Oryzias latipes: one gene and its partner. The main gene of each other region encodes a partner of the protein of the gene in region 2 in a complex. Links are inferred from orthologs where the notes say so. Each region holds a gene or a part of one and is shown on either strand. Other genes may lie near its edges. The genes, in order: wdpcp and intu.

Region 1 (4,461 bases), on a different chromosome or scaffold from region 2:
TGAAGTTTTCAAAATTAACTAAAAAGTTTTTTGTTTTTTTTAGTATTTTGGTTCCTTTGGGGCAGGGCTATCCAAAATGTAACTGTAATGAAAAATAAATGTAACTACTCCTTAATGTTAGATAACTCATTTTGTATTATGACTTTTTAAAGTGACAATTCCAGTTGCATAGAAAACATATGTTTGCTTGTTACTTTAGCATAAATCCTTTTAAATTTGATTCTGTCAGGTTAGGTTATATTGACAGTGTTTAAGTCCTAATGTATAGTTGCCCAATCTGGTATTTCAAGTCTGATTCCCCCTAGATATGAATAAATACACACCAATTTCTATTTTTTATTATTTTTTAAATTAAAAACTTTTATGCTCTCGCGGGCCACACAAAATGACATGGCGGGCCACATTTTGCCCCCGGGCCATGGGTTTGACACATGTGCTTTAGGTGAAGAATTTTAAAAGCAATCTAATTTTTTTTTCATTTTCCTTTGGATTTCTTCCCATCTTAGGTTAGAGAAATAACCAAATTTTGCGTTTTATGTCTAAAGTCAATAGTTTGCAGACTTTGCAGATGCGTGAATACACTAGGAGCTTTAAAGAGCAGAGGTTAGCCGTTCAAAAAGCTCCTAGTGTTTTGGGTGTTCAGGTTAAACAAAGCAAGAAGGTGTCAAAATCTGGAGTCATCCAATTTCAGAGGGAAACTTTAAAGCACCCCCCTGCGATTCTCAAAGGCCAGACTTCTGCAGAAGCAGAAAGTGTTTGGGGAGAATCTTCAGCTGAAATCCATCAACACTTTTTTCCCCTGGAGCCCAGGGTCAGGTGAGTCAACACGAGCAGAAATCTGCAGCTTATACTGGCACCTGCTGGATGAATGCTGCCACTACAAGTGACTCTCCTGGCTGCTTTTGGAGGTGCATGGTAAGAAAAGTCTGATCCAAGTCTTTATCAGCTGATCTAAAGCATCAGGGACATGAACCTGCTAACGGACAGATGTGCCGCATGCTAAAAAAAGGTGTAGCTGATAGGAGCTCTGATCTATTTGTGTTCATTTGCTGTTTGTGTGTCCATGAGTGCTTATCTCACTGTTTGTGCTGGTACTCAATGAGGGCTGTTTGGTCTGTGGGGGACAACAGTTAGTTACCTGATAATCTGGCTCCTCTCTGTCCATGCAACAGGGTCGGTCAGGTGAAATCTACAGGGGCAAGAAGGGAATAACACAGGTGTGGACAAGAGGAGTGGAAGCCATGCTAACTTAGTCATGAACAGAGGATTAGGCCCCAACGGAATTTGGGCTCCTCCTCTGTGATCACTGGCCCACAGGTTTCACCTCAAACCCCACATTTTCTGATTGTTTTCACAGCACACACAGGAGATCAGGCCAGCATGCAAACGGCACCAGATATTATCGCCTGCCCCAACACTGCTTGCACTCTTATTCCCTTCTTTTTTTTTCTCTTTCTTTTTTTTTTCTACAAAGACAAAGCATCTCTAATCCCCTCATGTCAGCCCCACAGTGGAGAGTGCCAAAGAAATAAAAACAATAAACACCGGAGTCTGACTTGTCTGACTCTGTCAAACAACAGACTCTTTCAAATGCTCCCGGTCACCAGCCATTATTGTGAAACCAAAGGGATTTTAGGCGATTCTGCAGGATCTGCTCCATCATGCCCGCATGCCAAAGAAGGGCACCTACAGGTTAACAACAATACTCTAAAAAATGACTACGCTGATCTTAATAATACAACTGAGAGAAACCAATGCACATCCTTCAAATGTTAACCAACATAAAGGTACATTTTTACATTTATTCTTAATCTAAATTACCTCAAGCAAGTCCTAATTTAACCCCAACCCTCCGCTATGCAGATTTACCAATCCCCCTACTCACACATGTATTTTTCTAGATGATAAAATATTGATTCCATCTCTATTCCATTCTATCTCTAACAAAACATATTTAAGAAAATGTATCCATCACTTGATGAAAAAAATGAATCAATAAGTATTTTATATGATAAATAAAAACACATTTTTAAAAATGTAAGTTAGACAAAAACTAATAATTTTGACTTAAAGTAAATAAAATAATTTCATAAGCATTTGAATTACATTTCCTAGTCCCATGAACTGACATTGTTTTAACCACTGACGTGCACAAAGCTGATGTGGTTTCAAGTCATCACTTGAGGGTAAAGTTAAGGGGAAATCAGACACATTGGTACTAATCTCACAAACTGTGTAACTGCACTGAACATTTAGTTTTAAATAAAAATGTTCGAATACAGTGACTTATTTGAGGAAATGGCATTTTTGGTTTGTAAAAACCTAAAGTTAGTAATATGAAAGGCTTTTCTAACAAAACTCTAAATCAGAATGTTTTTTTTTAAAGAAATGCAGTAGACAGAAGATAAAGTAAAGTAAAAAAATAAGGCTGGTGAAACACATAACTGGGAGTTCCAAATAGGGAAAAATGGGAATATAGTATATATACATTCATGCGTAACTAGTAAAACATTAAACTTTAAATTTGATAATAAAAGTTTATTAAATTGCCACAGGTGCAGTCACAAACAAAAACTAGAGAAATTCATATAATCCCCTTACCTTAAATGCAGGATTTTGTTTTATAAAGTTCTTCTATTTCCTCCAAATGTTGATGTCACTGTGGGCTTAAGGCTTAAGCTAGCTAGTTAGCATTTTCTAAACTAAACTTGCTTTTTGCCGAAGATTTTAATAAATCTAGTCTCATGTTGACAGCTGCTTCAAAAGGCACCGTTTTAATTACTTAAATTAAACACAAACTAAACTTTCGAGTATATTTTTTGATGAGAAGCTGATCAGTTTAGCTTTTACATGTCGCTGCTGGTCGCTAGGCAACCTTCACACGCCTCCAATGCTAACCTGATGCTAACCAGCTATCGCGTTTACAGCTCATTGAACACCTTTCTTATTGTTAGTCACGTAAGCATATTCTATGGCATATCAAATATTCATCAATTTAAAAAATAATTGCAGGAATAAACAAAGTCAGACATTTTTGCTCTTTTCGCTTACAGGAAACACCAATACAAAACTACAATTCCCACAATGCCCCTCCTTGAATACCGTGAGAGCGATGCATATGTCGTAATCAACGGAGGGTTTAAATAGGCGTGAACTGCGGCTTTATCCAGAAGTGGAGAACAGTGCGACTCCTGAACAAATAATGGTAAGGTTATTCTGTTTAATAATAATTTCTTATTGTGGTTTCTGTATATGACAATGTGAGACCGAACTGTCTAAAAAAAGTTGTGAAATTAAGTAAAGTCAGCTAAATGTATTTTTGACTGCTTGTGGCACAGTAGTGATGAGTTCGTTATTTATTTATCTGCATTTAAAAAATATTCCTATCGTTTACATGACTTTTTAACCAACCTCTGTTACAGTTGAATGAATGGTGAAGATAACCTTAATAAACCCTGGATAATTTGTTATGTAACAGTGAGTGAAGGAGGGCATGGGAGTCTATTTATAAACTGACCCCATGCTGCAGTAAATCCTGTTGACAGGGGTAGTCACTGATCCCATGTGCTTTATATTACCAAACTGTCATTCTTGGCCTGTTGGTAAAATCTGGGTTGATAAATTAATTGAGTAACAAGACTCTCTGTTGTCTTGGATCCTGCAGGCTGAGCCAATCAGTGTTCTAGTGACTGGTGCTGCCGGACAGATTGCCTACTCCCTTCTGTTCAGCATCGCCAAAGGAGATGTTTTTGGCAAAGATCAGGTAATGAAATGATTTGTTCATTCCCTTCCTTCATCTGGTGATGGTCAGCTGTAAGGCAGGTGAAGGATGTGCCTCCAGCAGCTGTGAATGCAGCGGGTCTTCAATCGTATCCATTGCGGGTCTGAACAGGTGCCATCCCTGTGGGAGTCCATCAGATTGCACCCGATCATCTGTTTGGCCTTAGAGAAGCCATGATTGTCCTTGAAGTCTGCGAAGTGGATCTTGTTGCCAAGAGTCTTAGTCCATCTTAAACACCACTTGATCCGTTTGGCTCATGCTGCTGTCAGTAAAGGTGGATGTGTCATGACAGAAACACAACCCAGCCTGCTGCATGGACACCAACTTATGGATTTTTTTCCCCTGCATCTTACTTCCCCCTTTTCCTGACAGCCCATTATCCTGCTCCTTTTGGACATTACGCCCATGCTGCCTGTCCTGGAAGGGGTTGTCATGGAGCTGCAGGACTGTGCCCTCCCACTTCTGAGAGGTAAACCTTCCATCGAAACACATTTAATTCTATAAAGATGCAGATGTTGTTTGATATAAAAGAAATTTTGTTTTCTGGAGTTTAATGCCTCTCCATCTTTGCTGTAAGCGGGTCACATCAGGGCATTTTTTTCCAGCCTTTCATTTATTATTTTTAAAAGCTGTTCTTGCTCAAAAGCACAATTTATTATTAAAAAAAATGAACCCTATAA
Region 2 (3,817 bases):
TGGACGACAAAAGCACGGTTGAAGCGCTGCTACGTTTTTGCGAAATCATAGCCCAGGTTTTCCATCGACACTTTTGGTCAACCTCACAACTGAAAAAGATGTGAAATAACTGAGTTTAGAGGCTGCAGGAGCCACAAGTTGATGTTAAAGACACACAAGAATAATGGATCCATGAGCCAGTGGATGTGTCATCCTAAAAATGTGGTTTGCTCTGACACTTCAGATGGACTGAACAAAAAGCTTTGCACTGCAAGAGATGGCAGAGTTTCAAGAAAGTGTCCTGAGACAAATGTGACATTTAAAGAAATGCACAAAAAAGTAACTGTTTTCTTTAAATGTATTTTACATGAGTGTTTTTAGTGAACTTCACACTAGTTTTATTGCATTTTTTAATTAAAAAAAAGCGGATTTTTTTTAACACTTTGGGCAAATGTAGCGCCTTTCTTATGAAGTTTGGCATTCTCCCTGCACTCTGAACTTTTCCAGAATGAGGGGGATGATGGAGTGCAGGGTGAAAGGATTTGGAAACCTTGAATGAACTGCTTCTAATAGCCTTGGCAACCAGACTAAAGGCCTAGACAACCCAGTCAGAGTGAGGGCGAGTGGCATTGGGAGTTGCTGAAGTGTGAGAAGAGCACTTCATCTGTCTTGATTATACAGACTGGCAAAGAAAAAAACTCAGAAAAAAAGGAAAGAAAGCTCACGTCAACAAATCCCTGCAACAGCAGAAGTCAGAAATACCACAGCCAGGCCTCTCCACTTTCTACAACCCTGCAATCAAAGGACTAAGAAGTCAAGAGTCCAGAGGATTCCTGCGTTTAGAAAATCAACCACTGGCTGATGTGGCTCCACACAAACCCTGCTCTCCATCTTCACTCCTATTTCATCCAAGAAGGAGTAAAAAAAAAAAAAACTGGCAGGCACAAACACAGTTAGGATCTGCAGAACAGTGAAGTACAACCCTCAACCTGAAATTAGCCGTCCACACAGACGCATGATTACAGTGTCGGGGGTGTCAGTCAGCAAACAACTGCAGCTTGCTTTCCTCTGCAACGCTCCGCTACAAGTGAGCTGCGTCCTCTTCCAGAGGATTTACAACACCGCCTCGCAAATGGCTCCCATTAAGAAAAGGAAATGTTTTATGTTTAAAGACTCCCTAACTGCTGCCGCACACAAAGAGATTATGTCGGGACAGAACCTGGTTCACACCATCGTGGTAACGGATCTTTTTTGACAGGTTTTAAGAGCTTTAGATGTGCTTCACCTGCTCCCCATGGGATTTGACTGCAGCCAACAGCAGTTTTCTGAAGATTTAGAAAACCTCTTGCTCCTGAAGTTTCCCGCAACTGTAGTTCTTCGCACTAAATCATCTGGATACACCGACAAAAATATTTGAAAGAGCTGGTCAAATAGGATTAAACAGTTTTTTAAACCAAATACCGGTACATTACAATCACAAACAGAAGACTTTTGTGTGTTGGATGGGATTTTTTAATTAAGTGAAACTCACCAGGATGCCTGTAAAAACACCAGATCATTCATACATGAGTTCAGCTGAAAGGTCTTTAGCCTGAACCACTCTGAAAACGGTCACTTTGGACTTACCATGTGATTTAATGGAGCAATGGATGAGACAGCTTTATTATTTCATGTACTTTGCTACTGCTGGCTTTTTCTGTTCAGCTCAGTCAGACCAGCTCAGGATGCTCAGAAAGTAGGGATGTAAAGATACAGATACGTAACAAACATCGGTCAAGCACTGGAAGTAATAACAGTTTCAGTTGGAAACCGCAGACACAAACAAGATTATGTGGGTAAAAAGGTATAAAATCGATTTTTTTTTCATAATGACAAAAAACAAGAGGCCAAAAATGCCAGGTTTTAATGTTTCAAGCTGATATGTAAAAGACATTTTGTTTTTGTTGCTTAAAATAAATTGTGCCAGTGAGAAAAAAAGAGTTTCTCAGCTAAAAGGGATGTTCCATTATAGCTTTAAGTCCAAAATGAATAATAAACATCTATTATATACAAAAGAATTGGACTGTATATGCGAACTGGACTGAGTGACCATGACATCATCCATAGAAAACAGTTTACTTCCAGCTCCCACCAAATGAAGTCAATTCAGTTGTCATTTTTTGGCGATATGGATGCCGCCATGTTGGAAACAGACGTCAATCAGTAGTGATTGGTCTGATCAACGTTTCTACGGCAACGCTCTCGCCAGTTAGGCGTGAGCTTGTTGGAAAGCCACACCCATTCCACTTGAAGGTGGGCTTGGGAGAATGTGTCAATCAAACATATTAAACATTCGATGTGGGGGCCAGCGGGCACCACCTACTTTTATTGAGGCATCACTTGATAACTTGAATACCTTACATTAGAGAAAAAAACATCATTTAAAACATTAGAATGAGCTAGAACATGTTAACAAAAAGGTCACAGATCAAGAATGATTATTCTAAGAAAAAGAATGACTGAGTAAAAGCTGTTTATTTCTCTATAGAAGTCCATGGTATTTTGGCTTCTTGGAGCCAGCGGGTACTTCCTGTATGGAACGTGAGGGGGAAGGAGTCACTCAGTCCAGATCTTTTACACACTCAATGGCCAAGCAGCTTCTTTTCCTGTTACCCCCCCCCCCTCCTCCCCAGGTGGATATCAGACCTTTTGACAGTTCCTTTAGCTGCTTACTGACCTCTTCCTGCAGCGACGATGAGTCCAGTTTAAGTGACAGGTACATGACAACGTGTGGGATGTGTCCCAGTGACATTTGCAGTTCAGCCGTGTCCTCCCCCCACAGCAGGCGCACCAGCTGGCTGACCGGTGGAGAAGCCTTTATCCTCTGAGTGGATGAAGTGCCCCTGGCCTCGTCCCTGTCCTTTAGAGCTACGGTTTCCAACGTCAGCCTCACCTGCAGGGGGGTGGGGAGAAAGACAAGAAAAAAAGAAGAAGAAAAGTGAAAGAATGAAGGATTACATGACCTACAATATTAAGAAGGTGTGGAAAAATTATTAAAAGAAACATTGATGAAGCTGCCTGTCTAAAGACCCACTACATTTGCATTCACACACCACTCGTCCTAAAGGGGGGAAAAGAGGGACAGAGAAAGTGATACAGTCATCTAGACCGAACCGCAGCATGACAAAGAGCTGGAATATGTGGCTGTGTGCTCGGCAAAATGAAAACCAGACCACTGCAAACCCACAAAAAAAAAACCACTCAGGACAGCAGATAGGGTCTGTCATTCATGCACAAGTTCTACTTTCCATTCTGTTCTATTTTCAAAAAATGTAACTGAGAAAATTAGGATTGGAGAGAACTCTGTCTCGAGTGAAATTATAACCGACACACATGGATGCACAGTGAAATAAAAGTAGACTGTCCTGTGAAAAAAATGGATGGTTTTCTATGTTCGATCTAAAATAAGAATACAGTTAAAAGCAGCTACAGAGACAAAGCGATAAAACAAAAATAATTCTCATTCTTTGCATACTTGGTGGAGAAAAACCCAAACGACGAGCACAAAAAACCTCATCACATTTAAAGAAAGCCACCTGTCAGAGTCAGCTATGGAGCTGTGCTGTTGTGGATGTAGGAGCATCAAACTCAAGAAGGAGCAGTATGTTAACACAGGGGTTTGAGACATCTGTTTGAAATCACCGGGAAAACGGGTTATGAGGCTTGAATGAAGGAAGCCCACAGAGCCCAGAGAATCTTGCCAAAAACCACCGTGGACTCCTGTCAAGCCCTTTCAAATCCAAGCTGTTTTTGGAGAACAACATTCAGCAAATGGTTTTACGGTTGTGGCTGATTGGTT

What was found.
Region 1: the proteins of intu (region 2) and wdpcp are in contact, whole or in part, in a cryo-EM structure (PDB 7Q3E), measured with the Mus musculus proteins. The link is inferred for Oryzias latipes from reciprocal best matches to the Homo sapiens genes INTU and WDPCP. Residues at the interface, in NP_780724.3 of Mus musculus: Val481, Gln484, Val488, Asp491, Ser495, Asp496, Glu498, Ala499, Ala500, Asp501, Ser506, Glu507, Asp508, Arg513, Arg514, Thr517, Ser532, His533, Leu534, Pro535, His574, Tyr593, Glu610, Gly613, Cys614, Ala615, Ser616, Lys617, Ser653, Pro654; in NP_663400.2 of Mus musculus: Phe3, Cys4, Leu5, Ile24, Leu51, Ser54, Arg55, Asp56, Lys93, Leu385, Ala386, Glu387, Asp388, Tyr389, Ile427, Lys446, Leu447, Gly448, Ile449, Leu450, Thr451, Arg452, Gly453, Leu455, Leu462, Gln463, Ile465, His466, Tyr467, Gln487.

What each region holds. Positions count from the first base shown.
Region 1 is NC_019873.2:11,912,323-11,916,783, reverse strand, and holds the start of wdpcp (WD repeat-containing and planar cell polarity effector protein fritz homolog), read right to left. Parts: upstream 3,048-4,461; 5' UTR 2,602-3,047; intron 1,190-2,601; 5' UTR 1,139-1,189; intron 1-1,138. Other genes in the region: mdhb (cytosolic malate dehydrogenase B), read left to right, coding at 3,203-3,205, 3,665-3,763, 4,154-4,250. UniProt on the Homo sapiens protein: Probable effector of the planar cell polarity signaling pathway which regulates the septin cytoskeleton in both ciliogenesis and collective cell movements.
Region 2 is NC_019876.2:18,867,025-18,870,841, reverse strand, and holds part of intu (protein inturned), read right to left. Parts: intron 2,912-3,817; coding exon 2,696-2,911; intron 1-2,695. UniProt on the Homo sapiens protein: Plays a key role in ciliogenesis and embryonic development.